Macaca fascicularis: one gene and its partner. The protein of the gene in region 2 purifies or fractionates together with the protein of the main gene of each other region. This does not show direct contact. Links are inferred from orthologs where the notes say so. Each region holds a gene or a part of one and is shown on either strand. Other genes may lie near its edges.

Region 1 (3,648 bases), on a different chromosome or scaffold from region 2:
TCCTGACTCTGGAAGGCTGAGGCCAGAGGATTGCTTAGGCCCAGGAGTCCAAGACCAGCCTGGACAACATAGTGAGACCCCATCTCTCTAAAAACAAATTTCAATTTAAAACTTTTTTTTTAATATGATAAAGAATTCTTGATTTAAGATTTTAAAAGATTGAGTGGTAATATTAATGGATAAATTTCCCCATCTTGAAAATGTAGATGCCAAAGTACAACAAAATCAAGCTTGCTGTCTTAAATGATTTTGATCTCTTAAGTTGGCGAATATTATAAATAACAAATCCTTTTAATGACCTTCAGTTATCAGAGAAAATTAAAATTGAGTTTATCAGTAATAATTTGTCCTCCATTATATTTATTCATTCAAATACTGAGAATCTACATGTGCCTGATTCTATGTTGAGAAAGCTCCATGAACTTCAATGATAATTAGCAGTCTGAGGGAAAAAATAGTCTAGACCCAGAGATGATATGTAAAGAAAATATAATAAAACAAAAGTGCCATGTCCCCACCCACATGACCCTCCCCTCAATAAATAGCTTTTTCTAAAAGGAAACATCTAGCTAACATCCTTCCCTATCCTTCCTCCCCCAGCAACCTAAGCCCTATCTCTGCCTTACTTAAAGCCACACTGACAAACACTTCACTATTCATCCCTTTTCCCTCTTTAGAATTGAACAAAACAGATATCCCAGCCCCCAAGGCCTTGTGCAACTGTCTCAATTATGTGAGGATGTGGCATTTGGAAGAGCACAGGTCTGTCTTGAAGGAAAACCTAAACCAAAGTGCCTTTAATGGGTTTATAAAGTTTCCCTCTGAAACCAGATCTGCAGAATGAAGGGGAGTAATTACCAATGAACTTGAGGCCCAGATCCTCTAGATAACACAGTTCTGTGCTTCCCCAAATGATTGCTGCTGACAACACACAGATAGGAAGACACCAGCCAATTAGCTCCCTCAGCTGCTTAGTGTTGTCTGCCTCGCCCGGACTCAAAAATTCAGGCTTATACCCAAGTGGAGAACACAGACAAACCAGGAGAGTGATGACTTGTGCCAGCACCCAGAGCAATTCTAATCTTCATATTTTCTCTTATAAGAATTCACAATATAACAGGACTAAGGAAGAAGTCTTGAGTTCCAGCAGCAACCCTGCCATTCAGCAGATGGAGAACCTCTGACAAATGGCTTATAAGCCAAAATTCCTCTTCTGTTAGATGAGAAGTTTGAAAACAACAATTTCTGAATTCCCTTGGGATGATGGAAAACCATGGACCTGGCAGTTAGGCCTGAGCTTAACTTCTGCCTCTGCCACTCACTATCTATAGAGCCTTAAATAACATATCTAACCTTACTAGGCCTCATTTTTTTAATACATAAAATGGAGCTAACAAGACCTGTACTGTGCAGAACTACTGGGAGGATTCAGTGGAGATAAATGTATACAGAGCATCCAGCACAGTGTGCGACACATACTGGAAATGCAGAAACTCTTCTAGTATAATAGCATGATTCCTTCTGGGGGTCATTGCAAAGATATCCCAAAATAAGGAATAATGGCATGTGGGCACCCACTTACTAAAAGAAAAAACAAGCTGCCATCATGCAGAATATTCTGGAGAACATGAAGGGGCCACTGCATCCTGAAGTGCCAACCAGTTTTTGGCCAGGCTGATGGACATATTTAACTTAATGTGAGTGTTAGATTGATTGATTGAGATGGTGCCTCACTCTGTTGCCCAGGTTGGAGTGCAATGGCAAGATCTCGGCTCACTGCAACCTCCGCCTCCAGGGTTCAAGCGATTCTACTGCCTCAGCCTCTCAAGTAGCTGGGATTACAGGCACATGCTGCCACACCCAGCTGATTTTTGTATTTTTAGTAGAGAAGGTGTTTCACCACGTTGCACAGGCTGGTTTTTTTTTTTTTTTTTTTTTTGAGCCTGAGTCTCTCTCCGTCGCCCAGGCTGGAGTGCAGTGGCACGATCTTGGCTCACTGCAACCTCCACCTCCTGGGTTCAAGCAATTCTCCTCCCTCAGCCTCCCAAGTAGCTGGGACTATAGGCGTGTGCCGCCATGCCTGGCTAATTTTTGTATTTTTAGTGGAGATGGGGTTTTACCATGTTGGCCAGGCTGGTCTTGAACTCCTGACCTCAAGTGATCCCCCACCTCGGCCTCCCAAAATGCTAGGATTATAGGGGTGAGCCACTGTGCCAGGCCAACCCAGGCTGGTCTTGAACTCCTGAACTCAGGTGATCCAACCGCCTTAGCCTCCCAAAGTGCTGGGATTACAGGTGTGAGCCACTGTACCCGGCTGAGTTTTAGCTTTAAATAATTAAAAGAAGAAAACGGTTCCAGAATGAAAGAAAATATAGACAAGTTAACCTAACAGCAAAGGCTCGGAAACAGAGCTCAATACCTACAATATTGGGACAGGATTTCTAGAGATAAACTGTCTTGCTGCTATCAGAATATATAACCAAGTAGCACCCAAAGGGTACTGGAATAGTTCTAGATACTCACCTAAATGAAACTATGAGTTCTAGCTGTAAGTATGGCACTAAATGCTGCAAATTGATGAACCTTCATTTTTCTACCAGTGAAAGGTGCTAGAGCCAAATAACCTTTTAAGGGCCCTTGACACCTTCCAATTAAAAAATTTCTATCAGTGCTAAAAATTCTTACCTGCAGATTTGGGGCAACCATCTGAGAGAGTCAAGGTCGCCTCCAAGGGGCTGCAAAAGCAGGTGCTGGAATGACAACTGGATAAACACTCACTGAACACCGAGTTAGAGGAATTGGAAAGGGATCCTGAAGCCCCATCACTCAGCTCATAAAACCCTACAAATAAAAACACCATTGGAATTAAGATCATGTCAAGGAATAATGCATATTCATGCTTAAAAGGAAAATGAATAATCATTTAGGGAAAGGAGATTTTTATTTGTTTGTTTTTTGGCCAATTTTGGTTCACTGGACTTTAGTGTCCTAATCTTATGGTCTTATTTCAAACAATCCTTAGGAAAAGGCAAAGAGCCATAAGCAGGGGTACATTTCAGAGTTACTCTCACCCTCAAACTGACCTTACTCCTTGACCCCGCCTTTGAAGATGTCCAAGGAAAGAAACTTAGATCTGTCAAGCCTCATCTTTATCATGATTGTTTCAGAAAAATAATAAGAGAAAAATCTATTTAAGGAGCCAATGGTTTAAAAGAAAAAAAAAAAAAAAAACTTTTGAAGTGGTCTCAGGAAGTTGAAGTGTGACTAATTTTCTAGCCCAGTTCTGACTTACTCAAGTTTCAAAGGAGGGCAGCTCTTGCAGAAATTTGAATAGCTTTTATTTTTAAACTCGGGGGGACTCCAGTCACATCGATCTCATTACCAAAAATTTTGTTGTCTGAGTTTATTTCCCTCTTATTCCAATGAAACTGAATGGCAGGCTGCTTTTTTTTTATTTTATTTTTTATCCTCTCTCTGTGCACTGGAAACAAACTCCATTGCCATTTGCAGGTCTGGGAATGTTAACCACAAGGGGCTGAGATATAACTCAAGAGTGCAGAATTCTGTCCTTGTGCTCACTCACTCACCTGAGCTAGGCCGACTGTCTGTCTCCAGGTGCTCTTCAGATGTCTTTTCTACATCCAGTCT
Region 2 (4,323 bases):
GGCAGCACTGAAACAAGCCAAGATGGAGATGCCAGCTCCAGTGAAGGCGAGATGCGGGTCATGGATGAGGACATCATGGTAGAATCAGGTGAGAGGTTTGGGCTGGGGCGAGGGGTTTGAGGGTGTTGTGGATCCAACAACTGCTCAGGCAGAATACCAAACAAACCTTTTTTCCCCAGGTGATGACTCATGGGATCTGATCACGTGTTACTGTCGAAAGCCCTTTGCAGGGCGGCCCATGATTGAGTGCAGCCTGTGTGGGACGTGGATCCACCTCTCCTGTGCTAAGATTAAGAAGACCAACGTCCCTGACTTCTTTTATTGCCAGAAATGCAAGGAACTGAGGCCAGAGGCCCGGCGGTTAGGGGGGCCTCCCAAATCTGGAGAGCCCTGACGGCACCAACTTTAGCCTGGAACTTCCAAATGATAACATGATTTGGGAACTGAGCCTCAGGGTCCTCAGCCTACCCCCTGGAGCTTGGATACTGTCCGCACTTCAAGGCAGGAATTCCCAAGGGAGACTTGTTTGAAAATGAGTGTCTCACTTGCCTACCCTATCCGTCCTCCCCACTCTGAACTTGAAATTGAACCCATTACGGTTGCGGGTGGGAGGCTGTCTGTGTCTCTAGACACATAATCTCTGTCTCTTGGACCTGCCACCATCACTTTCTGGGTCAGGATTGGAATTGGGATGGAATGGGACAGTTGTCTATAAAACTCTAGTGTAAATATTAGCACTCCCCTCCCTCATCTTTTCTTCTATTTCACTCCCCATTTATTTTCTTCTACACCGGTTGTATTTTTAATTTTGGACTTCCCCTACTGGGCATGGCAGCTCAAAGGTGGAGTACTAGAGCCTGGCCAAGCAAGGAAGGAAAGCAGAAAGGTGACGATTCTCACTCACCTCTTTTGTTTTTAATAATATTGGCCGCTGTTTGTACAGACAGCCTGCGTGTTGTAAATAAAGCAGAGTGGGCTCTTTTGTGTTTATAGCCCTCACTGTCCTGCTTGGGAGGGAGGCTTTGGTGGCTGAAGACTAGCTGGACGTGGTGCTGAAAGCCACCTCTCACAGTCCAGTCTGAAGATGGCACAGCACTGGGCCTCTCCCACCCCAAGATACTTGAGTAAGCCACCTCAGAGCTTTCATTGTATTTGGCCCTCCCCACTCGAGTCTAGGAACCCCCACAATCCCCACCTTCACTCCCTGCACGCACACTCCTGAGGGTCAGAGTTGCTTCGCGCTCCCGCCGGTGTGGGGTAAAGCCGGGTGGGAGCCGACTGTCCGCTTCCTGAGGGCACAGGCCAGCTTATCCTGGGTGCTCCGAGGACCTCGGCTGGGGTACACCTTTGGGGGCTGGGAGACCGTTGCCGAAGGCAGCGATCACGTGGCGGGGGCACTAGGAGGAGTCACGCGGTCACGTGACTGGGAGGGGTCACGTGACGGGGGCGGCTGAAGAGCGCGGGGTGGGCGGGCTTAGGTCACGTGACATGAGGAGAGGTGGGCGGGGACCTGGAGGACGCTCGCGTTGTCGGTGGCGGTGGCGCGCGGCGGCCGCTGAGACCGCGGCTTTGAGTCGCACCTCGCGGCCCGCCCCCCGCCGCCACCCTTGCCGACCCCTGCTTTTTTCCCTTTGCTTCTCTCCAGTACTGGGTCCGTCCTGTCCGCGCTCGCTCGTCGGTTTGCGGGTGTGCGCAGGCGCGGCAGGGGCCATTAGCCCCTTGGGTGGGCGGTGGAGCCCGGGAGCGCGCGGGCGAGACCATGGCGGGCAGCAGCGCTGGGGGCGGTGGGGTTGGGGAGACGAAGGTGATTTACCACCTGGATGAGGAAGAGACTCCATACCTGGTGAAGATCCCTGTCCCCGCCGAGCGCATCACCCTCGGCGATTTCAAGAGCGTCCTGCAGCGGCCCGCGGGCGCCAAGTACTTTTTCAAGTCTATGGATCAGGATTTCGGGTGAGCGCAAGGCCTAGATAGGACCGACGGGGGCTTTGCTAGAGTGGATTGGGCGACGTGGAGGGGCACACATCTACTTCGGGCCACACTAGGATTTTCTGGCCTGTGGTGGAGCAGATTGTACCATGCTGAGGTAGGTTGACTCTCCCAGGATGGACAAGGTTATGCTTGGATAGATTGAGGCACACGGGCAGACTAGGATATCCTAAACCAGATTAGAGACGATTAGGCTCTACTGGAATAGGTGGAGGCATACTGGTTTATTTTGGAGTGTTTTAGACTGTACTGAGTAAATTCATCTATCGTCTGGTCGTTTAGTACGTTCTCAGGAGTCCTGTAACGCCTGTAATCTCAGCACTTTGGGAGGCCGAGGCGGGCGGATCACGAAGTCAGGAGATCGAGACTATCCTGGCTAACACGGTGAAGCCCCATCTGTACTAACTAAAAATACAAAAAAATTAGCCGGGCGTGGTGGCGGGCGCCTGTAGTCCCAGCTACTTGGGAGGCTGAAGCAGGGAGAATCGCTTGAACCTGGGAGGCGGAGGTTGCAGTGAGCCGAGATCGCGCCACTGCACTCCAGCCTGGACGACAGTGCAAGACTCCATCTCCAAAAAAAAAAAAACACCAAAAAACAAAACAAAACAAACTTGGGCCATTATGGACTCTACTGGGCTGTATTGGTTAATCCTGGTTTATCTTGGGGCAAGACATGGTTTTATTGGAGCACTCAGTATGGGGGCAGACAAGGCTGTTGGTGCCCATGCTAGTACAGGTAGCTGTATTGGGGTATTCTAGTCTATATTGGTGCAGACAGCTGCGTGTGGGGACATTGTAGGCTGTGCTAGAATAGATTGGGCTATCCTAGGGTAATTTGGACATTCAGGGCTATCTTGGACTAGATTGGCATGTAAATAATGCAGAGAAAGCCCTTTTGTGTTTATGGTCTTTGGGGCTGAGCCCTCTCTGGGTCCTCAACCTCTGCTTTTTTTTTTTTTTTTTTTTTTTAAAGACAAGAGTCTCGCTCTGTCGCCCAGGCTGGAGTGCAGTGGCTGATTCTCGGTTCACTGCAAGCTCCGCCTCCCGGGTTCACGCCATTCTCCTGCCTCAGCCTCCCCACTAGCTGGGACTACAGGCACCCACCACCACACCTGGCTAATTTTTTGTATTTTTTAGTAGAGACGGAGTTTCACCGTGTTAGCCAGGATGGTCTCGATCTACTGACCTCATGATCGGACCGCCTCGGCCTCCCAAAGTGATGGGATTACAGGCGTGAGCCACTGCGCCCAGCCCAACCTCTGCTTTTTTGAAGGCAGGCTGGATTAAGTTGAGATAGCATGGGTTTTAGAAGAACTGAACAAACTGGACTCTAGCTAGAAAGATTGTTTGACATGGGAAGGGTGATACTATCTTGGGAGTTATCTTGGCTTTAAGTCAAGGTTCTTCTAGTTGTCAGCAGTGCAATCTTGGACAATTAATTTAAATTTTGTGTCTTGATCTCGTCTGTGACATGGAGAAAATCACAGAATGAAATGGTTAGTTCAGGTGTGTGGTACATGGTGAATTCTTGGTGAATGGTAATTGTCATTAGTATTGAGGCTGACTACTCTATAAAGGTTATGGTGATACACAGTAATTTGTCTTAAGAGTGGACTGAGCTATGCTGAGATTGTGTTATGTTGGGAAGAATCCTACATGATGCTGAGACAGATTGGTAGTGACTGGGCTGTGTTGTCACATTGACAGCAAATGGATTAAGTTGATATATATCCTGGCTCTTATGACCATATTAGGCTAATGGGTTAATTAGACAAGGTGTCCTAATTTGGCGGCAAGGGTGTGTGTGGAAAGAGAGAGAGAAACAACCAGGGCAGAGAGTCTGATGCTTTATATGTTTATTCATTTAGTTGACAGTATTTGTTAATGCCTAAGTGTCAGTGTGTGGTGTGTGGCCAGGACATGGTGTTGATCAGAGTAAGTGTTCATGGTTTGATGTCGTGGTCAAGAAGAAGGGGCAAGTCCAGTCCACCACAGGGAACCCATTGGAGAGATGACCCCAAGGCTGGGCTTTGGGATCTGTCAGGCTGAGCAGATTGCTTCGTGCCGAATTTTGTGCCAGATGAGGCACAGGGGAATGGGAGCGCCAGCTTGCTCTCTCCTTGGGAGCTTTCAGTCTAATGAGGAGCTTCCATTGTTTGTTTGATCTAATGGTGGGTGGTTTTGTTTTTTGTTGTTTTTTGTTTGTTTGAGGTGGAATCTCACTCTGTCGCCCAGGCTGGAGTGCAGTGGCGCAATCTCGGCTCACTGCAACCTCCGCCTCCTGAGTTCAAGCGATTCTCCTACTTCGGCTTCCGGAGTAGTTGGGATTATAGT

Evidence for each region. Proteins that work in one complex are often made in the same cells at the same time.
Region 1: the proteins of DVL2 (region 2) and DACT1 purify together in Homo sapiens (affinity purification with western blotting; 3 studies listed by BioGRID and IntAct, with this or other methods). This does not show direct contact. The link is inferred for Macaca fascicularis from reciprocal best matches to the Homo sapiens genes DVL2 and DACT1.

Annotation. Positions count from the first base shown.
Region 1 is NC_088381.1:126,474,423-126,478,070, reverse strand, and holds part of DACT1 (dapper homolog 1), read right to left. Parts: coding exon 3,588-3,648; intron 2,842-3,587; coding exon 2,686-2,841; intron 1-2,685.
Region 2 is NC_088390.1:7,281,063-7,285,385, reverse strand, and holds the start of DVL2 (segment polarity protein dishevelled homolog DVL-2), read left to right. Parts: upstream 1-1,504; 5' UTR 1,505-1,759; coding exon 1,760-1,953; intron 1,954-4,323. Other genes in the region: PHF23 (PHD finger protein 23), read left to right, coding at 1-88, 180-394.